Drosophila melanogaster: one gene and its partners. The protein of the gene in region 1 interacts with the protein of each later gene in a pairwise test. Each region holds a gene or a part of one and is shown on either strand. Other genes may lie near its edges.

The links.
Region 2: the proteins of E(var)3-9 (region 1) and obst-B interact in a two-hybrid assay, tested with the Drosophila melanogaster proteins (one large-scale study listed by BioGRID).
Region 3: the proteins of E(var)3-9 (region 1) and CG6701 interact in a two-hybrid assay, tested with the Drosophila melanogaster proteins (one large-scale study listed by BioGRID).
Region 4: the proteins of E(var)3-9 (region 1) and CG7387 interact in a two-hybrid assay, tested with the Drosophila melanogaster proteins (one large-scale study listed by BioGRID).

Annotation. Positions count from the first base shown.
Region 1 is NT_033777.3:8,990,123-8,994,862, reverse strand, and holds E(var)3-9 (enhancer of variegation 3-9), read left to right. Parts: upstream 1-1,913; 5' UTR 1,914-1,997; coding exon 1,998-2,186; intron 2,187-2,235; coding exon 2,236-3,073; intron 3,074-3,135; coding exon 3,136-3,183; intron 3,184-3,241; coding exon 3,242-3,933; 3' UTR 3,934-4,218; downstream 4,219-4,740. Other genes in the region: CG11975 (uncharacterized protein), read right to left, coding at 230-336, 403-1,164, 1,241-1,327, 1,413-1,479; CG11970 (uncharacterized protein), read right to left, coding at 4,465-4,740.
Region 2 is NT_033779.5:10,031,157-10,038,698, forward strand, and holds the start of obst-B (obstructor-B), read left to right. Parts: upstream 1-1,533; 5' UTR 1,534-1,583; intron 1,584-1,732; 5' UTR 1,733-1,736; coding exon 1,737-1,797; intron 1,798-5,661; coding exon 5,662-5,917; intron 5,918-6,004; coding exon 6,005-6,123; intron 6,124-7,061; coding exon 7,062-7,458; intron 7,459-7,536; coding exon 7,537-7,542.
Region 3 is NT_033778.4:13,974,166-13,981,982, reverse strand, and holds the start of CG6701 (uncharacterized protein), read left to right. Parts: upstream 1-1,817; 5' UTR 1,818-1,955; intron 1,956-2,039; exon of another isoform or gene 2,040-2,564; 5' UTR 2,565-2,642; coding exon 2,643-2,799; intron 2,800-2,865; coding exon 2,866-3,041; intron 3,042-4,133; coding exon 4,134-4,338; intron 4,339-4,402; coding exon 4,403-4,607; intron 4,608-4,678; coding exon 4,679-6,549; intron 6,550-6,608; coding exon 6,609-6,714; intron 6,715-6,779; coding exon 6,780-7,056; intron 7,057-7,145; coding exon 7,146-7,392; intron 7,393-7,572; coding exon 7,573-7,817. Other genes in the region: Ctf4 (chromosome transmission fidelity 4), read left to right, coding at 1-1,435.
Region 4 is NT_037436.4:8,191,000-8,194,949, reverse strand, and holds CG7387 (uncharacterized protein), read left to right. Parts: upstream 1-1,833; 5' UTR 1,834-1,941; coding exon 1,942-2,536; intron 2,537-2,623; coding exon 2,624-3,378; 3' UTR 3,379-3,428; downstream 3,429-3,950. Other genes in the region: MED24 (mediator complex subunit 24), read right to left, coding at 1-60, 118-478, 546-1,388, 1,458-1,615, 1,674-1,760, 3,472-3,561.

The DNA of each region.
Region 1 (4,740 bases):
AAAATGAAGGCTAAAGTAAAATTAAATGAGCATGTTGGATTATCGGTTTATGTTTCAAATAAAATATAAAATATCCACAATCATGTCTCAAGGTATAACTACATTTATGTGAACTCGACTTTTAACGTATTTTAAAGCATGCTTATAAGTAATATTGTATAACACATTTCCATGGAGATATATAATTGTATAGATGCATCAAAGGCGTTCGCAACAATCGGATTTGTTTCTAGGTCTCATCGTCTTGCAGCTCAAGGAATTGTGTGCAGATGTCTCGACTGCACTCGCCTTTATTGTTAAATAGGAATTTATAATAGTGGCCGTCTGCACAAATGGCTGTATAAGAGAACAAATGTCGATTAAAGAAATCTCAGGGAAGGATCCACTCCATTTCCAACTTACCCACAACCGAATTAGGATCGGCGCCAAAGGCACATACACATCGAGGTCCCTGGGGTATTGAAAACTTGACAAAACTCCACTGGCTCGAGAAATACTTGGGTATTATGGGCAGCGAGGATTCACGGGGCTTGTTGTCCTCCAGGTTGAAGACGTGTATGGTGCCATGATCGGAGGCGACGACCACCATTGTGGACTGGTGGTTAAAGTTGATGCAGAATATGTTGGCGTGGTTGCTTCCGCGCCTCAGCTCTGATACCTTCTTGCCACTTTCCGTATCGAAGATACGGATGAGGGTGCCCTTTTCCCCGGCGGTGGCTAGTCGCGTGCCTTGCAGATTAAGGGCAATACAGCTGATACCAGCCTCGTGGGCGATCACCTCAAGCGGCGCCCGCTCTGTGTTGGCCAGATCAACAATTTGAACGTGGCCAGTTCGACGGCCGGGGAATGCGAGGAGGCTCTTATTGCTGTGCGGGCACAGCACACACAGCCCGTTGGGATTTGAGCTGGTCTCAAAGACGTGCAGCTGCTGTGGTTGCTGAGTGAAGGTGAACACCTTAATCACGCCCTCCAACACGACCACGATGCGATCCCGACGCAGTCGTACCGCCCGCACGGGCTGATTGAAGTCCAGCGATATGGCCGGGGACTTCTTCAGGTCATCCCACACGATCACCTTGTTGGGCGGGTACAGCGGCCGGATGCCGCCTCCAACCAGGGCTAAGTAATTGCAACGAAACAGCATCTCCACATGGCTGAGACCACCTGAATCGGAATTGTAGACAATGGAATTTGTTTTAGGCCGTGGGAGTCTCCCGCACTCTTTTTTTGACAATCATACCCTCTGGAAAGTATTGGCGCTCCTTCTCCTTCAGCGGATCACAGTTGTAGACCCGGAATCCGGTGTCCGTCGCGCACGCGAAGCATCCTGCAACGCAAAAGGCCAGTTATATTATACCGATAAGGTGTATCGTGTATATGTAAATAACACACATCCGCACATATGTACGTACCTTGGTCTTGATTGAAGGCTGCGTAGAGCAGCCCGTTTCCATATGGGTTTTGCTCTGTGAGGTTCATTGCACTCTCCGGGGATGCTGGAAGCCCGGGCTCTGGTGATTTTCAATACAGTTGCTGGGCAGGCAGGAAAACAATTGCTCGGACGGCGGATGATTGTGTTTTTTCGTATAAAAACAATGACACAGTGTTGAGTATCGTCGAAAAGTGGCCGGGCGGTGAATCGATAACTTTCAATGAGGAAAGACGATCCGCTAAATCGGGATATTTTTGGGTTTAAGAACTTCTTGCTATGAGTTTTTGAGTAGTTACGTAACACAAAGAAACATTATAAATAATCTGCAATGCTGTTTTGGATAAGGTTTTTTTTAAAGCTAAAGATCTAGCTATTATCGGTAGTATCTAGATAATTAGATACTGCCAGCATCACTACCACCCACAATCCTTCACTATCGACCGACGGGTATAATTTTGCAACACTGTCCAAGATGCTCCACCTCCAATTTCACAGAATAACAAAAAGGAAAATGGTCGCTTTGTGGAACGGATTCCTGTAAAAATTGAATATATGCTAGCGCACCATGGAGTTCAGTGCGGATCTGAATGGCTTCAATGAGGACTCCATCGAACCCTGCCGGACTTGCGGAATTTACTTTACCATGGGAATGGACATGGACCAGGCGATTGTGAAGCCCATTTTCGGTTCGGATGACGCCGCCGTCGCAGATATGGCGGAGATTCTCGAGCAAATGAATGATTGGAACATAAAGGTTGGTAGTAGTGGAATCGTACTATGTGTACCTAACTTATGTCCCAAAGGTTGCGAGGGAAGACGGACGACCGCAGTACATGTGCATCGCTTGCATTGCCGAGTTTCACCGGCTGATTAAATTCAAGCGCAGCTGTGTGGAGACACAGGAGCAGTTCGGCGAGCTCGAGTACCAGCGCGAACATAATGGCATCGTTATTAAACGGGAAATTGAGCCGGAGGAAGAGAAATTCTGCGGATTTATATATCTGGATACCGACGAGGAGGATAACAGCGACGAGGACGGTAGTAGACGCGTGTGTGCCGTCTTCGACATACCGCATGTGCCCATTAAGGAGGAACACATGGCCCGAGTGCCATTACAGAACAGTGACAAGTTTCAGCCACCCGAACCCAAAAATTTTGCGTCGCCAGTCGACTCCAGATTCGACATGATAGACAACGATGCGTTAACGTCCGGCATGTTAGGACCGTCTATTGAGGATCTCTCCGGGACGGTCGACGATGGCACCGAAGATGAGGAGGAGGAGGAGGAGGAGATAGTCAGATTTACATACGATGATGACAACGATGCGGCAGCCCCGCTTCCGCCCCCGCTTTACTCGCCGGTTGTGTGTTGTAAGCTATGCTTTTACGAATCCCCCGACCAGGATGCGCATATGGAGCACATGCGCCGCACCCATCTCCTCAAGGACTGGGAATGCCATATTTGCGGCAAAAAGTTCACAAATGCCCAAGAATCGCGCATCAAGTTTCACATCAAGTATCACAAGCTACAGCGGCACGTTAAGTGTCCCGTTTGCGGGTTCATCTGCAGCTCCAAGGAGACTCTCAAGGAGCACAAGCAGGCAGTGCACGTACGCACAAAGTGCACATACTGTGGAAAAAGTGAGTTCAATATTCTCACTTATAAAACTAATTTATCGGATTAATCACATTTACCTTTGCAGCTGTGAAAAACGCCACTCTACACGCACATTTGAAAAAGCACTTAGAAGGTCAGTAAGAAGAATTACAACGGTTTTATTTGTTTATAACTTTACACTTAATGCCCAGAGGGTGAAGCCGAACTTGCCCAGCAACTGAAAAAATTGGAGCAGCTTCCAGTTAACCTTCAATCTCAACATTTATCTTCACTGGAAAGCAGTGTCGCCGAAGTCACCACGGCTTCTGAGGGCTCAAATATTCCTGGGGAATCCACTGTTCCTGAAGATTCTAATGTAACCGAAAACTCCAGTGTTCCTTCAATAGAGACTTCCAATCATGCGGACATTCAATGTCCAATGGGCCCACCTGCAAACGGAGAAGTTCCTGATGTAGCAGATGTAGCTTCACCGTCAACCGAGCCAACTGAAAGTGTCACTAAGTGCTCATATTGCAGCGACACATTCGAGAAGGCCCAGCAGCTGCAGGCTCATGTGCTGGCCACTCACACACAGACAAGAAAGAGGCGTCGCTCTTCAGACAACCAGTCATTAGTGAGAAAGACCACGCAGGAAATACCTACGTCGCCCATTGCAAAGATAACCAAGAAGCAAACCATCGAGTCCAAAGAAAGAGTCGTCCTAGAGTCTTCTTCTCAATTAGATAGCACTGCCCAGCAGGAGAGCAGGACTTCAGCGACCTCTAATGACAGCTCTCCTGTCCAACAGGTGCCAGAAAAAGCGTACATCTCGTGCTACATTTGCGGCAGATCCTTTGACTTAAAAATTAAGCTTAACAGACATCTTAAGCAGCATAAGGGTTAGTATCGTTTCTAGCGTATAGCCATTATTCCATATTAATTTCATTTTTCTAAAAATGTAAGAGTATTGTGCATCTTATCATTTTCCACTGGCCTGCCAAATGCAAACGTTGAAATTTGTTATTTAAATTTTCTTATTTTTATATAATTGGTTGGCGAAGTACTTACATTCGAATTTTAATGTTTAATAAAATAGAAACCATTTTGCATTTGCCTTTTATCCATACAGAGTTGGAAAAATGCAAAGCACATTGGTTTTTGTATTGCAAATAAACATGGCCCTTCTGGTTTCATCTGAGTTTTATTGGGTCTGTATATATATATATATATATTATTTTTTATAAACTGTTCCATAAAATTGGTTGCTGGATGGGACATCTTATCGTTGTCCATTATATTTACTTAGTACAAAGCAATATTTGCGATCTTTCTGCTTACATAGATAAATTACAAGTGTTGTTTAAACAAAATCGAAGAAAGTGTAACCGGTAAGGATATTCAACGTGGTTACCAAGCCTCTCCGCTCCTGAGCCTCCTAGTTGCCACTCCCTGTGGCCGTCTTGAGAACCGTAGCCGGTATTAGTTTTGTAGTCAGCGTTTTTGCTCCTGTTTCGCCGGCTGCCGTGGTCACAGAGATTTTTCCTCCTACCGCTGCCCCACTTGCCGATGCTGCAGCCATGGGTATCACTTTTAAGCTGGACAGTGGCTTTAGGTTCATGCCCTGCAGTCCCGGTGAGAAGAAGAGCTGTCCGCCGTTGCCTTGCACGGCGAAAACGAGATTGTTGCTAGGCGTTGCCGTCGCTGTCGCAGC
Region 2 (7,542 bases), on another chromosome or scaffold:
ATTCTGAGGGCCTCCAATCCTCCAAACCACCAACCTCCACCCCATTTCCGCCCACCAATTTTCGAGACTCCCGGACCGCGGGCTATTAAGCAACTGTGGGCTGTGCGTTACAATAACCATGTTTTAAAGCCCCGCGGGGAAATGGTGATGCTATTTTTCTGACTTATCGCAGGATTATGAATCGTGGGACATTTGCCTTGACTGTGGCCATTGTGATTTGCATTTGCACGCAACATTTGTTAAATTTCTATCGTCATGTATGTCATTTCACTTAATTATGCCATTTACTTTGCATACAAAGCTGCCATAAGTTTGCTACCAAATTCTTGGACAAATTTTTCAGGAAAAGGGCGAGGCATTTTTCCAGCACAGAACAATTTGTCACAATTATTGCACACGAAATGACAGGCAGATGAAAACCAAGCAGCTGGAAAACAAGCTCCGGCTCCGGAAAAGTCGACTCCAAGTAGGCGAGCCGCAACTTTGACAAGTTAAATGTGTTTTGGGCCTGCACAATGATGCAGCAAATGCTCGCTCGGAATATTCAGGAGCAGGAGTAGGAAAAGGAGGAGTACGAGTGGGAGCAGGACGAGCCAGCCACCTGCATGGGCAAACGTGTCCGAAATTTTGTCATATTTTTTGGTTAATTTCAAAAATGCAAATCATCGATGTCCTGGCCGACATCGGAGCACGTCCTGTCGCCTTTTTTGACAAATTTGCCAGCACTGCTCGTGCGGCAATGTGCTCGTTACAAACTTTCTGTGGTGTAGAATATCATGGATCCGGTGGGCTTTGCACTTTGCCATCCTGCAAAACCCGTGCCAGCCGATGTCGATCGTTATGTTTTCCATGGACATGGAGGAGGCCGCTCATTTGTTTGCAGCTTATTCGCATAGTTGATGTTGGTTTGCTGCATGGTTCAGAGGGCCATGGCTTCACTGGGCCATGTTATGCAAAGTTAGCATTTCCATTTCCTGCCTTTGTTTGCGCATCCCTTGGTTAGTTTAGGCCACAGTTGTCCTTCCTACGCAACTAAAAATTTGATTATTTTTACTAACTAATTAGGACTGTGCGGGCTAAGCAGTTTATTTACCTTTCATTAAAGTTCTGAGTGCCTTTTGTGTTGTATTGATTAAGATGCTGCTTCTTTAAACAAGATAGTTACATATTTAAACTATCTTTTTTTATTTCATATACAATGATTTTGTTAGTTTTTGAGTACTTAAGATTATTAGGGTTTCCTCAAGCTGCTCTTAGTTACATTTTCATAGTTTTTAAATTGTTAAAAAGTTGATTGGTTCTTGAAACCTCACATTGGAAAACAATTTCGATGACCAATCGCGTTCGATTGTCTTTAACCATCGTCTTTAACCATCTGACATTAAGAGTCTGAAGCTTTTGAAAAAAGCTCGGACCGGTTTCTCTCCAAACTGCGCATGCGCAGCCATCTAACTGCAGTTCCAATGGAGCAGAGCGAAAGCAGACAAGGTGATGGAGACTTCTGGGCGTTAAAACTCATTGCCCGAGCGATCCGATCGCACAGTTGAGAGCGAGACGTAGACGCGTGCGCACGTACGAGTTTGGTGAGTTCCGATTTCTGCGAGTGTAGTACGATGAATGGTGAATCAAGTGAATGTGGAATGCGGAATGCTGCTCTTGAATGCCGTTTAATGTGCCGCCGGAAAGCATATCAATTTAAAATATTTAAATAATAATCTATCTGTTCGTGCAGGTTTATGTCGGCTAACGAAATGGCGCTTGTGAAAATCTGCATATTTGCTTTGGCTTTGGCCGTGGGTAAGTGTGGAAAAAGCTCTTAATTGCATTTGCCAATTAATGATACGTCAATACCATGGCGTGCAAAATGTCCCTGTGCAAACTCTATTTGAATAATGTGCCGTGACTTTAATGCTCTTCTGCTTTCGGCGAAAACAATCGCCTCTAATTGTTGGCCGCACCCAAACAAACGGGAACAAACCCACAGGCCAACCTAACTACAAACAACGCAACAAACAAACGAACGAACAAATAAACGAACCAACCAGGATAATAGCGACAAACAACCATATGCAAATGCAGAATGCACAGTGCTGCAGCAACTAAGCTGAAAAATATTGTTGTTAACATTATTGGCGCCCATGTTTATGCATATCTGCAGTGTTTGCAATCCTGGCCCTCTTTTCATCATGTCAACTGTTGTCCGATGATTCGATGGCATAGAACACGTGTAAATGCCACATGTAGCATATATGGCATATAGCACTTGCTGTTGTTGTTGCTGCCAATTTGCATGACTTTTGTTTTTCGGTTTTCATACCCTCATACGCTACTCATTGAGTAAAAAGGGTATACCAGATTCGATGCTCTCGGGAAATATAAAAGTTATGTTAAGTTATACAGAATACAGTGGAGACTTACGGGAGCGATTATGTTACTACCGCTAGGTGGAGCTCGTGTGAGCTCGAACGCTAGGTATCTGATAGTCGAGATACTCACCTATAGCGTTCTCTCGTGATTGGATCGGAATTACAGCTGCAAACCCATTGGCATTCCAATTGCAATTGGAAATTCGGCAATTTAATTTGCTGGCAAATTTTCTGCTCATTTATTGTGTGAAAGCTCATTAAAAATTTGTTTGTCTCCAATGTGCGGGGGCATTAAAAATGCACATTGTTAACTCGCCGGCATAAAAACATACATATTAAACAAATTGATAGGCGAGCAACTGTTGCACTCGGGGGGCGTAAGCTGAATTTGGTAATTATATTAAAATGTCTATGGCAAAAATATGGCAACAGCTCATAATTAAATGTATTGCAATTCGGTGCCGCCGGGGTTGAAAGCAAATTAAATTGCCAGTTAATTGAGGAAAAACTCACCGCGTTGAGACAAAGGAAAAGTTTTAATTTGATGGTAAACATGTTTGTACGAAAAGTTTATAATGTGTGTGTTTGCCTATCGAGACGAACACCTTTTTACCCCCTATTTTATAAAAATCTCTTACATCTAATTTAACAAACCGGTCGGTTCTATTGTCAATCTCGCATCAGTTCAGTGAATGACATGAAAAAGTGCTTACAATCTGTTTATTTTTAATCTATTTAATGTTCATTGAACCTAACACGCTGCCTGCACGCACTTTTCCAAGATGACAGCCACGACACCCACGACGTGTGTGACTGGAATCGAAAATCCAAAGATTCAAAGCTCCCAAAAAAAAACCGTATTGTAGCCACGACTCACTCCTCCGTCTGCTTTGCAATCGGCAGTCAATTAATCTAGTCTAACCGGACTGGGAATCGAGTCAAACGGTCCAGGACCGGGTTGAACCGGGTCTGTTGACAACGGTTGACTCCAACTCCAATTCCAACACCAATTCCAATTCCAATTCCTACTGCGACTGCAAACTCCATGGCAAACTTGTTGACAGACTGTCAGAGCGACGCGACGGCCCCCAACCAAGTCGACCAAGTTGACGAGTCGAAAAAAGCCAGGCCCAAACCGCATAGGCCACGCTTCGCTTGACTCGTTCGCCGGGCTGCGAAATAAAAAAAAAAAAAACGGAGGGTCATAAAAATGAAAGGAAAATACCTATTCAGGAGCAGGTCGTAAGGGAAATGCCCTTGGGGGAAAAGCCATTTCAGGCAATTATTAAAGAATGGCTGGGAAAAAGTGAATATTTGAAAGGATAAATATTATTCATTGTTTCATATCGAACAAATATTGTGGCACATTTTATTCGAAACTAAATTTAGTCTGCTTTGCTTTGCTATTTAAAGGCTGCAAGTGGTCCATAGTTTAAATTTAAGCCATTGAATAGTTTGAATGTTCATTTAGTTGAAATTTAACGCAACTAACCGAATCAGCTAACAATAATGTCTGTTAAAATCTACAATTATTTAATTAATTAGGACTTCGATTTTCATTTAAAGTGCTAAAATTAAGCCGAATAGCCAGCTCGAAAAAAAAGTTTTACAATAATGCAATTATGCATTTGGTTTGGTTTAACTTTAGTCGGTGAAAAAACGATGCTTTCAATTTGATAGCTCTCGAATAGGTGTGAATTTATAAAATTAAAAATCAATTAATAATATTAGAGGCATGTTCATACAGTTGTTTATGCAATTTCTTTGTTTTGAGAGTGTCTTTCATTGAACTCCTCCTGCGCAAGAGTATTTGCCAACTGAACTATGAAGCTTTCGTGACTTTTTCTTTTCCAGCTTCTTGTTTGGGTTGGGTATATATATTTTCTTTTTTTTGGTTTTTCACCAGATCCCGGTTCGTGTACGAAACATGTTTCAATGACAAGCGACAGCTGCAACACCCAACACTTGCAGCAGCAGCAGCAGCAGCAACTTGGTGTTGTTGGCTTAAATGTTGGCCGACACTTCACGCACTAATTGCTGTGTGGAATTGTTTCTTTATTAACGTTTAATCGAATGTCAGCCGAGCGACGTCAGCATCAGCAACTTGCTGGCGGCATTGTTGATGTTCACTGCGGCTGCCAAACGAAAATTGAAATCGTCTTTTCTTGTTTCTCTTGTATCGCTTGGCTTTTTACGTATCTACATATATAAAGTATATATATGTATATATATATTTTTTTTGCAATTTTGCTCGGTCTGATTGAAGTGGTTTACCTTGAGGAGAGCTCCACCATGTTAACTGGATGCATTTGCTGCATGTCGCATATCTTGAAAAATTTCTTGCAACTTGCAGGAAATGCTAATTGATACTGAGTTTTCAAGGCTGTGCTTTGGCATCAGCTGCTCGGCGGCTTAGATCAGCTGTTTGTGGATCCAAAACCGGGCTTTGTAATACCCGAGAGACTTTCACTTTTAAGGTCGCTCCAATCCAGTGGCCTGTGTCGCAATCGCAAAGCGACAACTCATATACATATCGGTTGCTATTTGTTGAGTTGCCGCAAACGGGTTTTCACGCAAACATAGTGGAAACGTTGGGCAAAAAACAAAAGGCAAAAACGTGCAAGATACACTTGGAAAAAAAATGCTGAGAAGTTATTACAATCACTTTAGAGTAGGTAAATTGCAGGAACCATGGATCAGTGGTTTGGGAATTTCTAATCCTAATCTAATCTTACAATATCCTAGTCATGAAATCAAAATATATCTTGAGTTTCAAAAGTTTACCGCCATTACATTGCTTAATATGCGAAAGCAATCTAAAAATCAATTACTCTTTCTAAAACAATCAACAGAGTAGCATTGTCAAAAGCTTCAACTAGATTAGATCCTGCAAATAAATTCACAAGCTTAGCAAAGTGTTTGCACTTGTGACAAATGAACATGAGAAATGTTGTTAAAATTCACACTCGATTAGGCGCATTTTGTTTAATAGATTAGCTTAGCATTTTATTGCCGAATGGTATAAGAATAATTGTGCGAAACTGTGGGGCTTTGCTGCAATTTAATAACGAAACTATCGAATTAAATGTAGAAAAAGGTTAAACACAGTTTAAAGTTTGATTTATATTTAAGTTGATAACAGCAATGTGTGCTATTTCATAAACTGGCCATTGCAGAGAGTTTCCATCAGCAAAGTAGATTAAAACTGCAAGCAAGGACATTTTGTGTGTGTGTGTGTTATTTATGTATGGACTGAGTTAACATGTGTATATCTCAACTATCTTCTGGTCTGCAGGTCTGACCGCAACCAAGGCGCAGGAGTCGAGAGGCGGTTTCCGTGGCAGTAACAGCCAGTTTCGCGTGGGTCCTGGCCATCCGCCCTCGCAGCGCCACCTGCCGCCCCGAAACCGTGATCCCGTCCAGGAGGCATCGGTGGTGCCAAAGAGCAAACAGACGGCGGCGGAGAAGGAGTACGAGCCCACCGAGGAGTGCCCGGAGCCCAATGGCTTCTATCCGGACAGCAAGCAGTGCGACAAGTACTACGCCTGCCTGTAAGTGACCAAAAGGAGTAGACACACCCGGCCACGGGGCGTATGAGTAATGGCCGTTGCTTAATGCCACATTGACCACATTTGCAGGGATGGTGTGCCCACGGAGCGACTGTGCGCCGATGGCATGGTCTTCAATGACTACTCACCCATCGAGGAGAAGTGCGATCTGCCCTACAACATTGACTGCATGAAGCGGAGCAAGCTACGTGAGTATAAGTCCTTAATTTGCAAGAACCGCTTTACGTATGCACCGCACAAATCCCAAGACCCCACCTATATATATATATATAGTATACATATATATGCTCCTCCATCTTCTGGGCCAAGAATCGGGCAATAAACGCGCTTCGTGCTCGCACTTATTTGCTCGTTACTTCTTGGCTGCGCTTTTTGTTAACTTATTTATTATGCAAACGGCATGCGCAGCGGTTAACCCAAATTGTTGTCGTCAATAGGTCTTTGGTCTTGGCGGTGCTTTGTTTTCATTTTTCGCCTCCTGAGTAGACTCAGTTTTATTCGTGATTTTATTATTTCCCCAACGCCAGAGTCGCGCCACCAAAAAATTTTAAGCCCAATGCCATGGCAATTGGCTTCCCGCGGTTTTAAACTTGCCACGAATTTGGTCTGCCACGTGTGTGTGTGTGGGAGTAGAGCATCCTTCAAACTTCTCGACAAAGGACTTTTATTAAAGTTCTCACGTTGAGAGTTTCTTGCACTAGCGCTAGTTCAAGTGGATTTAAGAAAATTTCTTATTCACTTAAAAAGTCGCACACATTTTGTGTGACCATTTTTAATATGAAATATTGCTGCACGTTTTAGTTTTTAAATAAATTATTTGCCACCCATCAAGGCAATTAGTACACATTGTGCAGGCCCATTAGCAATTTCAATTACCTTTGTCTCCTGTTGACATACATACATACATACATATAACGTTGCCATGGCATATATGCATATAGTTCGCAAAGCATACAGCACCTGAATAAATGTGTGTCTAGTACATTGTGCTGGCGCAGTAATGTATTTACGGATGTGCAAAAAGGGTTTTACGAGCATACAGATAGATAGATACCTTTTGCGAGGGAAACTCAAGGATGCACAGAGGGAATATTCCATTTGTAATTTCCCTATTGTTCAATCGCAGAAACACCTCAGCCATCGCTTCACTGTCCCCGGAAGAATGGATACTTTGGCCACGAGAAGCCAGGCATCTGCGATAAGTTCTACTTTTGCGTGGATGGTCAGTTCAATATGATTACCTGCCCGGCTGGACTGGTCTTCAATCCCAAGACGGGCATATGTGGCTGGCCTGACCAAGTGGGCGTCACTGGCTGCAAGTCGGAGGATGTCTTCGACTTTGAGTGCCCCAAGGTGAACGAGAGCATCGCAGTGACACATCCCCGCTACGCCGATCCCAACGATTGCCAGTTCTTCTACGTCTGCGTCAACGGAGATCTGCCCAGGCGAAACGGATGCAAACTGGGCCAGGTCTTCGACGAGGAGAAGGAGACCTGCGACTGGGCACGCAAGGTGCCAGATTGGTAAGCTATAGTTATCCCTAATATAAAGTACTATTGGGAATTTTATTCTTGGATTCTAATAACTACATCCCATTTCAGTGCCGA
Region 3 (7,817 bases), on another chromosome or scaffold:
CCATGTGGAGCCCTCAGGCGATAGCTCCATCGATGTGGAGTTCCACGACGCTAGTATTCACCACGCTCTACACATTAGTAACTACAATCAGCACAATTTGGCCAGTGTGAGCAGTGGAGCTTTGGCATTGGCCTCCAACGAATCCAGCAAGTTAGTAGTCATTGCTCTGGCCGCCGCCGGAAACAAAGAGTGGTCACTCAGCCTCCCGGATTGCGAGAGTGCAGAGGCTGTTGTGGCCACGCGATTTCTAGTGGCTGTGGCCACCAGCTCCAGTTTTCTGCGTATCTTCACCGTGATGGGTACACAGCGTGAGGTGCTAACCATACCAGGACCAATGGTGGCTATTGCTGGACACGAGCACAGCCTAATGGTTGTTTACCACAGTTCCGCGCCCAGTCAGACGCAGCAGCATCTCGCCGCGATGTTGGTGAACATAAATGGATTGAGTTTGCGACAAGAATATCTGCCCGTTCCGCTGACTCCAGGCCGGCAGCTCACCTGGTTTGGGTACAGCGACACCGGATCGCCGAGTATTGCCGACAACATGGGTCTGCTGCAGTTGTATCGCCGGAGCAGCAACGCCTGGTTCCCCATCTGCGACACCATGAAGCAAAGCACCAGTGTGTCGCACAACTTCTTTGTGGTCGCTGTATCCGAGAAACGTCAGATAGTCCAGGCGGTCCTGTGCCGCGGTACCTCCTATCCCATGACCAATCCGCGTCCCATGCTCCAGGAACTGCGTATGCAGATCCCGCTCTGCGACGTCGAAGTGGAAAAGTCCGAGCTGGAGGATGCACTGCTGCGGTCCAGTCTGATGCAAATGGATGGGGCAGAGAAGATGCAAAAGGAGACGGCCATCAAGCTGTTTGCATTGGCCTGCAGCAGCGAGTGCGAGACGCGAGCTAGGGAATTGATCGAATCGATTGCCTGCACTGATCTGCTTCAACTGGCCGTGAAATACGCCACGAAACGTGGACGCATCCACCTGTCCGACCGTCTGTGCGAACTGCTACCTCAATTGGAGGCGGTCCAGGAGGCACGCAAGCAGCAGACTTTGTTGGGTGCCAGCGGCATTGCGGCCACCATTGTTCTGCCAATGACTCCCACATCGGCCTCACAAAGCGGCCCAAAACCCAAGGCCATCGAGCTGAGCTCGGCCAAACGGGGCACCCTGAAGAGATTGGTCAATTCACCCAATATGTTTAAAGCAGCAGCAGCATCGGCAGCATCCCGGCCCTCGACTCCGGATATCACACCCTCTCCGCTGGACACCCAGGAAAACATATTCGGCGAATCGGAATCCGAGGTTCCCATGGGTAAAGCCACCGATCACCGGTCCCCTTTGAATTCGGTTAATCCCTTTGCTATGAAGCGCAAACTGGGCGACACTGGAGTCATCTTTGGATCCGAAAAGCTGAAGCTGGCAAAGAAATAGTCTGTTTGTAGATTGATAAGTAGGTTTAAGATAAATATATTATATAAATAATGTGTAACGTTTATCCCATTCTGTGAGCTACATGTAAAATAACAAATTTTTATTTGAGCTTTTTATGGAACAGAATTGTTAAGGATTAATTTGCTTATTTAAATTTAAAGAATAAAATATACTTTTATTTATATTAAAATGTATATTCTTTAAAAAGCGGAGGGTACAAGTTTATTTAAAATATGATCAATATATTTTTAAATATTTTAAAATTCTACAAATTAAACATTCTGGTCTCCAAAGAATACCGTTGGTATTTTTATCTTTGGAATTAAACCAACCAAATAGTGTGACCAAACTTTGTAAATGACATTAATCGATCGAAACGATCATTTTAGGCTGGATTTTCCACGACTTTCAAGTCAAAGTTATGTGTTCGTTTAATTCTATTTTGTAAATAAGTGTTACACGCTCAAATTCCAACATAAAATTACACACTCATACACATAGGAAAAAACACAATATAAAGGTTAGAAATAATAAGCAAAAAAGGTGCTAGATATATCAAAAAAATAAATATATATATTTTTTAAATAACAAACTAAATTGACAGTTACATACACGTATGTAAGTATTGCGGCAGCGAGTGCTTCCTTTTGCGTTGTTTACGAAATTCTCGCCACTGGAAGAAAGCTAAAGAACTCCGTAATGAATTTCCAGTTCCAGCGAACTGATCACCGCTATTCAGAAGGCTCTCTGCTGCAGACGCAAACACACACACAAGCAGGCAAACACACAGGGACATCGTTAAAATCTAAAGATGGAGAGACTCTATTTCCAATTTAATGTTGAATTAGTTTTCGTTGAAGCCATTTTTTAACCCAACAACTTTTTTAAGAAATCCCCGTCTGGGTAACCCGTGCATATAAAACCCAACGCTCGCGCATCACTCTCTTCATTTGTTACCTGAACGTTACGCCGTGCATTTCGATCGTCAGCTGAATAGTACATACTATATCATATATAATATTTCAACGTGTGTGTGTGTCTGCGTCTTTGCGTTTTGTTCGCGTCAAATAAGTAACTTAATTGCGATTATTCGCAACAACAATTATCGATCCTACCCTTTTTGTTTGAGTGAGTGTATTACAATAACAAAAACATAGAAAAAAACAACAGGAAAAAATCAGTACAAAATAAAGAACATCAAGCCAAAATGACAAAAAATAAAAAGAACATAATCAACAATAACAATGGCAACGCAACCCCGCCGGACTTCCCAACACCGCCACCGACGCCACCGATCAATGCCGGTATCAAACCGCCCGGCACCTACGCCAATGGAATGCCTCGCAAGCCGACGGTTCCGTGGGGTAAGCTATATACTATGTATATACTATATATGATCCATAACATCGGATCACTTTTCACGGGCACAGAGCGCGAGTTGATGGGCTCGTTTTTGCTGGAGATGGCCAGACTCCAGGTGATAAGCGCCCAAACGGAGTGGTACGTGGACAAGGCCAAAATGCGAAAACTATTCGAGGTGCACTTGAACGCCCTGCCCAACAGTAGCGAGATTCGTCAGAAGCTCAGCAGTCAGGGAGCTACGAATGTAAGTTGAATCACATTGATAATGCCTTATTGCTATCCTATTTCCTGTACAGTGAGCACTGCCAAATGAGCTTCGGTCGGGGTTGCCTTAGAAAACTAATAAATTGCATTTTGTTGGTCCGATATGTACATGTGTAGGTCATTCTTTAAAATATGAAATATAATATATTAGGATAAGTATAATCGGATACAAAATGTAAACATGCCTTAAGTTGCTCAATATTCTCGACATTGCATTGCAGACCACTCGATTTCGCTAGTCAAAGCGCGATAAGACTGATTTCGTACTGTATGTATCTATATATGTATGTATGTGGCTTTCCTTTGTCTCGCTCCAGTCCAAACATTTTCCCCGTATTATCAGAGCAACTTTACAACTATTTGCACATACATACGATCGACGTCGTGTGCGATCGCGATTTGCTCGCTTGAGTCTATGAGTCATCTGGGTTCTGGGTTTTGGGTTTCCCCTGCCGGATTATTCTTTCTTTTACACTCAGATGCGCGGAATCTTTGCTGGTACAGCAGCAATCTGATCTAAACAAACGTAATCATTTGTTTATAAATTATAAACATTAACAAATGTACATGCATATTTTGTATATGACTTTAAGTGGATTTCAACTCAACTCAATGCTGAGAGTTCAGTTTAAAAACAGAAATATTATATTGTGTCAAGATCGTATATCTATAGCTCTATTGTTGTGACATACCGCACTTATAGCGCATTGTAATTATTTATGCCGTTAAAATGAAGTACATAGTAACAAGTTTACATCTCCTGCATATGGGTTTTCCATTTCAAAGGGATCGCAACTCGTTTGGGAAAACAGCTTTAGGAAAAGAACACAAAAATTAGAAAAGGAAAATCTGTCATTGTGTATTTCTCTTTGGTGGTCGTATGGTGAAATTCGATATGTGGAGTCAAGTGATTCCCCGTTTTCATTGGTATTTCAATGCCCATACATGCATATGTGCATACATACAGTGCCTATTGCGCCAGTGCAATTTTCTGACCGTTGAGATATAACAATCCTTTTCGGCGATTGATATAAACTATAACATTCGAAATTAAATGCAACATTTTCATTAGATTGGCTCCCTGCTGCATAGGACGAACTTTCTAATCAACACGCCTCGTGGAAACCCCAACTATCGCATCAAAAACTTCTCCTTGATGGACTTTCGCAAGGAGAAGTTCAATTTGCTGGACGAACAGCACCGATTGCGGGGAATCGCCTCCACGACCGATGTGCCCGGAGGAGCACCTGCTGAGGGCAACAAACCGATAATCGAAGGTAGTCTATCCATAATTAAGAAAAAAAATATTCTCATTATGCGTGAGAGTTTTTTTGTTGGCAGAATACAAACTTGACACAGACGTAAAGCCTACGCTTCTAAAATTTCAAAAGAGGCTGCTGCTGCAGTCAGATAAAGATTTCGAACTCCAATCCCTGGGCTGCTATATCTGCCAGGAGAACTTCGAGAAAATTGAGAAGTATGAGGAGCATGTGGAGTACCATGGCGACGAGTCTGATTTTCAGTCCCTCAAAAAGATGAAGAAATAGTAAGTAAATTGAATTATATCTCTACATATGTGAAAAAGGTTAATGTACAATGAGTGCCTCCTTTCCGCAGTCCAACGCCCATTGTGTCCCTGTCCTATCAGACCTGCGTGGACAGCCACTACTTTGGATTCACCTTAAAGACCTTCCGCAAGGATCTGGTGGTGGACAAGTTCATCATAGTGCAGTTACGACAGTTTTACTACGTGTATGGTGCACAAATGCCTCTGCCGGTGAATGGGAGCGGTGAACTTGTGTTCTTCGTGGACTCTCACGTCTTCATGATCCTTCGGGAGCAGCCCATCGTTATCGGGTTCACCATTCAGGGAGAGAAATATGTGGAGCAGCATCACTTCATGCGCACGGAGGCATTGCCCAAGGCTAGCTTCAACATCAATCCCTACCGGCTGTCTAGCAAGGAGACCTTCAAGAGCAAGGGTCTTCCGCCAGCCAATCCACCCATTCAGGTGTTGAGTGCTCTAAAGCACGAGGATGCCCAGATGTGTTTGGCTAGCTTTGATAATCAATATCAGAACTACTGCGAGCGGGGCAGAGAGATTACCCAGGAAAATCTGACCGGGACACTGCGCACATTGCTCCAGGTGGAGGACATCGAACGATTGCAGCATTATCTCTCGCTCAAACAATCAGAAATGGAGCTGCATCAGTTCGGGCGGGAGCTTTCCGTGAAAATGCAAATGGGTACCACCAGTATGAGCGTGGAGGATATCTTATCGCCTGGCGACGATGTGCTAATCATAAACGAGAAGGGCAACCCGAAATCGGCTGTACGCAAGATGTTGGAAAACAACAACAACGTGCTCGAGTTGGCACTCAAGGATTTTGACTCCATCTTGCGGTGGGCTCGCAATGTTGACGGAATGGTCGGATCTCTGGACAAGCAGCCACGAGTCTACTTCGCCCGCATCCTTGGCGTCTCAACGCAGCGGGTTAACATTACTTGTGAACGCCAGTTACCGGACAACACCACCTACACCCTGATCTTCCGTCCATTGCGAGCAGTGATGCGTTATCAGTACCGAGCACTTCAGCAGCTGTCGTTCACCAGGCACAGTGATGTTCAGCGGATCCTGTTTCCCGGTGAAATTCCCAATACACCTTTGGCCAGTGGAGTACTTCAGCTAAACAACAAGTTAATTTCGACCAATCCGGAGCAAATGCAAGCGGTTCGACAGATAGCGTTGAGCCCACGTCTAAAAGCTCCCTACATCGTGTTCGGACCACCGGGAACGGGTAAGACCTCGACCATCGTCGAGGCCATCTACCAATTGTACATAAATCGACCCGAAACGCACATCCTAGTGCTGGCTGGCTCAAATACGGCTTGTGACGAGGTGGCACTGCGACTTTTAAGGGCAATCGCCAAAGCACCACAGAGCCAGCCACGACCGCTAACCCGTATCTTTAGCGCCAATTGCGATCGGCGCATTGACAATATCGACGATTTGCTTCTGGAGTACTCGAACATGTACACTGTGCACTTTTATCCGGCCGTGCAAGCGGTGCACCAATATCGGATCGTGATTTGCACACTCAGTTTAGCTGGAAAGCTGTCTACCGGTGGCTTCGCCGCGAACAATGTGTATACGCATGTGTTTGTGGACGAAGCAGCCGCTTCCACGGAGGCGGAGGTTTTGATGGGCATCACCTGCACCCTATCGCCGACGTTGAATTTGATTCTATCCGGCGACCACAAACAACTGGGACCAGTGCTCCAATCGCAGAGGGCGAACGAATGGGGTCTTGGACTGACCCTCTTCGAGCGACTGCTGCAGAGGAAGTGCTACCAAGTGGAAGAGGATGGCAGCTATAACGCATCGGTGCAGACGCGACTCATCCGCAATTTTCGTTCACATCCGGAGATAGTATCGCTCTACAACAATATGTACTACGAGGGACATCTTCGGACTGAGGCACCCATGGGTGAGCGCTTGTAGTTACCATATAGGATCCAAAAATTATAATTCGTATTCGTATTTCAGAAATTGTTTGTCGCTTCCACAACTGGTTTTACCTGCCCAATGCGACTTTTCCCATCATGTTTCATTCCGTTTTTGGCACAACGATGAACACGAAGAGCTCTGTGAGGTCTGTGCATAAAATGGTGTACAAAACCAAATCTGATATTAATACATGGGATTTCAATTTTGCAGCCTGTGCAATAATAAAGAGATTGATGTTGTCATGGATTACGTGAAGGATCTGATGTATTTCGGCCTCAATGGCGAGAAGTTATTGCAGACTGATATCGGTATCATATCGCCGTACAAGAACCAGTACCAACGTATCCAAGAGCAGCTAAACATGCGAAACTGGTCTCAAATAGATTGCGGTTCTGTCGAATTATTCCAGGGCAAGGAGAAGCATGTGATAATCGTTTCATTTGTGCGCTCCTTTACTCCCAAACTTGGATTCTTGAACAATGAACGGGTATGTATTTGTTTATAAAATAATAGAACTATTCATGAAAAAAAAAAAACATTATTCCATTAAATTAATTATATTGCACACCCGTTTAGCGGTTGAACGTTCTGCTTTCGCGGCCGATTTCGCTGCTTATTCTCATCGGAAATCCACGAACTCTAAGCCAAAACAGTGACTTCCAACATATTATCGAAATGTGCCGCAATCGTAAGACCTTGGTTGGGGAGCAATACCTTAACGAAGATTTTATTACGAATAAAAAGACTGGGGCAAACAACGTCAATAAAGGAGGAGCAGCTGGGGATCAGCCTGCATCCGGGCTAAGGCAACCGCTCAAGCGAAGTAAGTAACGCCAGCAATTTAAGTGTCGCCAGACAAAACAAGCCGATTACAATCCCATGTCGTGGATGTCGGCTCTTTTTGCATGATAATAGCTTTTAATTTGCCGATTGCTTGTTTCTCTGGCGTGATCATCCTTAAATTATATTATCTAACCTCTAACCCGCACCTTATCCCAAACAGAGAACCATGCAAAGAATCCAGTCCAGGACGCCAAGATCTTCTACAGCAAGAATGAGCTGCTTAACCTCGGGAATGAGTGTCAGCGGAAAAAATCTGAGCTCGAAACCATATTCGACGAGTTGCCGAAGGTTCCAAGGTCTGTGGACCACGATTTGGATGAAGTTCGTTCGATAGAGGCCCAACTGAAAGATTTTCAATTGGAAACCAAACAGGACGCCGCAGGAACATCGATTTTAGTTACTAAT
Region 4 (3,950 bases), on another chromosome or scaffold:
CACCATGCACTCACGCACCCATTTTTCAAAAAATGAGTCACCACGCTCAGATAAGACCACCTGAAGTAAAATAGAATTCATTAAAATTGCAGCGTAATAACAGGCGGGTTTACGAACATCGGATCCATAGGTCTGCACAATGCTTGTCAACATTAGGAAGGAAACATCAAACAGAGTGGACCGGATGACGCATAGCTTGCCCAGGTCGCCCGGCACCGGCTTGGAGTTCTCATTGCACTGGATCAGACGCGATACGAATGTCTTGAGGCGTCCCTCGACGGTAGCCACTGAAAGAATCAACTCGAAGCTGTTGCCCACCGGCACTTGGCAAAGGACATTAACCATGTCCTGGACCTTGTTGGTGCACAGCGTTTTTAGTACTCCGGAAAGCGGAACCTCTGCGCGCTTGATGAAGTTTATATTGGAGGGTGTCTGTTGGCCATTGTCGCATTTTTTGAGTAATTGAGAGGCGGCTTCCCTGAAAGAGTTCGTTTTAAATTATATAATTAAGATGGGTGTACAAAATGCATGATTTCTCGACTAACCTTTGACTGGCGAACTTCTTTACGTGGACATCATTGACTAGTTGTTGCTTGGTCCAGTCATTCAAAAGGAACTCGATCATATTGCATGAGCACTTAGTATCCATGAAGTCTAGCAGCAGATTGTCCTCGATGAGCAATTCCAAAGCCTCCACCAACTCGGGTATGTAATCGGCCGGTGGTGGTTGCTCCCCGGGAATCCGTTGCAGGGCGTGCAATTGCTTAATGATGTGCGGCATTTTAAAGAACATAAAGGCACCCCACATAGTGTCAGGACTTGTATCCGCAACATTGCTCAGCGTGAGGAATCCAGCACGGATGATTTCGTAGAAGAGCCGTGTATTGGAGTATTTCTTTAATCGTTGCAGCATCTGCAACTCAGCCACGTAGTAGCTGGTGTCCTTGCACGGATTGAGAAGCACTTCCACCGCCAGTAAGGGTTGCACGCAGCACGAGATCTTCTCGAGTGTTGACGGCGGATTAAGTGGTTGCATTTCAAGATGCTTGGCTTCTATAAAGGCCAACTGCTGCAATTGCTGCTCCACTTGTGGTGCATTTAGCGTAAAGTTTGAGTTCGTCAACGATCCCTTGATGGTAGCGTACTTATCCCGAATCCGTCCACATATTTCGAGCTCTTCGTGACAGCCCACGTACAGCATAGACAGCAGGAACTGCTGCTGGCTAAGCCGATCTATCACCACGCAGGTCTGGTCCAGCATGTATGATTGCTCAGCACTAATCTCACCATACAGTTCATAGTGCTGCACAGTTCTGGCGAAGATTTGAAGCAGCCAGTACACCAAGTGGACGACGGAACTCGGTAAAACCGCTTCCTCAGATTTTATTCTGGAAATAGAAATGAACAATTATTTTTACTCCTGCTTTTTAACGACTTATAAAACTAAAAGGACTTACCGGCAGGTAACGCCATCCACGATGCTGGCCAGGAATTCAAGGAGCGCTGTAATGCAATAAACGCGCTCTAATTTGTCATATTTGGCAATGCACCGAATAACAGCAGCGTGAGAAACGAGATGGGCGCACAGTGAATGCTTCAGGTAGTTAAGAACCAACTGAAAAGCATAGATTACAATTTAGAAAACAATCTAAATACTCAGATCAACTACTCACCGGATTAGCCGTGGAACCAATGAGTGCCTGCTGCATCAGACAGTCAGCCAGATTGTATACATCTCCACTGACTCCTCTCGGCAGCACCTGAAATAGTAATCAAGGGAAAGACAATAATGAAACATTTTCTTTTCCTGTCAAACTTTAACACAATATCTGGGTCACAACCCCATAAAATAAACAGAAACAGAACCACTTAAAAATCTAGTTAGGATTTCCACTTATATAGTTAGCACACATAGTTGCATATTTCGTTACGCGATAAAAAATGTTTCGTTTAAAATTATTTCGCAGTCCTGGAGACGTATTAAGCACTTTAATTAGCGGAGCTGCAACGGATTGCTGCAGGAAGACGTCACATTGTTTGGAGTTGGATCGCGCTCCCGCTGTCGCTGCCTGCTGGATCTGTATGCGGATGATCAGTCAATATCAGTTCAGGACCACGAAACCAGCCTACTATCCAGATCGCCAGCGGGAGGCGAAGCGAACGTCAGCGGGAGCCACGCCTCAACAGGTGTCATCTCCGGCTGTTAAGTACCCGCAAAGCCGAGGCATGCCCAAGGACTACTACTACAAAGTGTTAGGCGTCAACAGGCACGCCACCATCCAGCAAATCAGATCGGCTTTCTATGCGCTGGCCAAGCGCTATCATCCCGACTCGACGCACTCGGAACAAAAGCTGAAGCACTTCCAGGAGCTGTCCAACGCCTACAACATCCTAACCGACGAGACGAAGCGCTTGGAGTACGATCAGCTGGGCGGGATTAAGGATGAGCGCGCTTTTCTTGAACAGGCGGGCAATCCCCTAAATGTGGGCCTCGAGGAGGCCAAGAAGTTCGATTCGGATAAGACGACAAATGATGGTAAGCAGACGGATTTTAGATACATCAAACACCATTTCACTTTTCACTATATCACGATATGAACACGATCCTTGAATCGCCTTCTAGAGATCAACAAACTGAAGAGCAACGAGTTCGATCTGCCACTTGACTTCCTTGAGGCGACAGTGGGATGCAAGAAGCGGATAGAGCTGCGCTACTTGCGGAAATGCGAGACCTGCAAGGGCAAGTCACAATTGATGGCGCATCGGGATGTGGGCAAGGAACCCTGTCGGCGATGCAATGGAACTGGAAAGGTCATGACCAAAACGCCAACCTTCTCATCGGTGAACACATGCACGCAGTGCAAGGGCAAGCGATTCACAAATCGCAACGACTGCGAAACATGTTCGAATCGCGGCTTCGTGGTGTCCAATGTGGATGTGATGGTATCGGTGCCTTCCGGATCCCGGGACGGTGATGTGGTGAACATTATAAATCCGGAAACGAAGCAGCAGGTCACCTACCGCTTGTCGGTGCCGTCTAGCGACTATTTCCGACGCGTTGGCAATGACATTCTAACCGACAAGCACCTAAACATCTCGGAGGCCATTCTGGGCGGATCCTTTCAGATACGGGGTCTGTACGAAAGCGTGGAGCTGCGTGTGGAGCCGGGCACCCAATCCCACACCCAGGTGGTGCTCAATGGCAAGGGGGTGCGCTCCAGGGAGGGCGTGGGCAACCACATCGTCACGCTGAAGGTGCGTATACCCCGGAATCTCTCCGTAAAGCAACGCCAACTGGTTTTGGCACTGTCCCAGGCAGAGGATCCGGTTTTCGAGCCCAAGACTAAGAGCACGGAGGCGGGCAATTTGAGTCACTAAAATTCTCAATGTACCGGCCTCATTGCGTTTACAATATATTGGTAAACACGAACATTGATTGTTTGGTGTGTTGATTTGCTTGGGTTGCCTTGCCTTTTTTATGTTGATGCCCCACTGGGAGTCCGTCCAGCGCTCGCGCCACGCCACATAGATGAGTTGGAGGATCTTGTTGTTCTCCTTCATCTCTCGCGTCCGTGGAAGTAATATAACTTTTACTTTTCTCGTATTTCACGCAATTTATTTTATTTAAACCTAATATATTTTTTAGCAGCGCTCAGTGTGACCGAGGTATCTTTTATTAATCATACCAAAAGAGTACCATAATTTTCCCATCCTACAGTGTTGAAAAACACACAATCTTAAAATTTGTCGCCAATTTTAAATATTTTGAAAATTTTGTTTTTGCAACGAGGAATTTAGCCAAATAAAGGAAATAATATTAAAATATATTTTAAGACACCGAAAAGGCACCCACAAACAAATTTTAATTCAAATAATTTATTGAATACAATAAAGTAGCGTATGAGTTTCATTTGTAAACTGTTTTCATTTTAAACATTATGTTCTAAAAT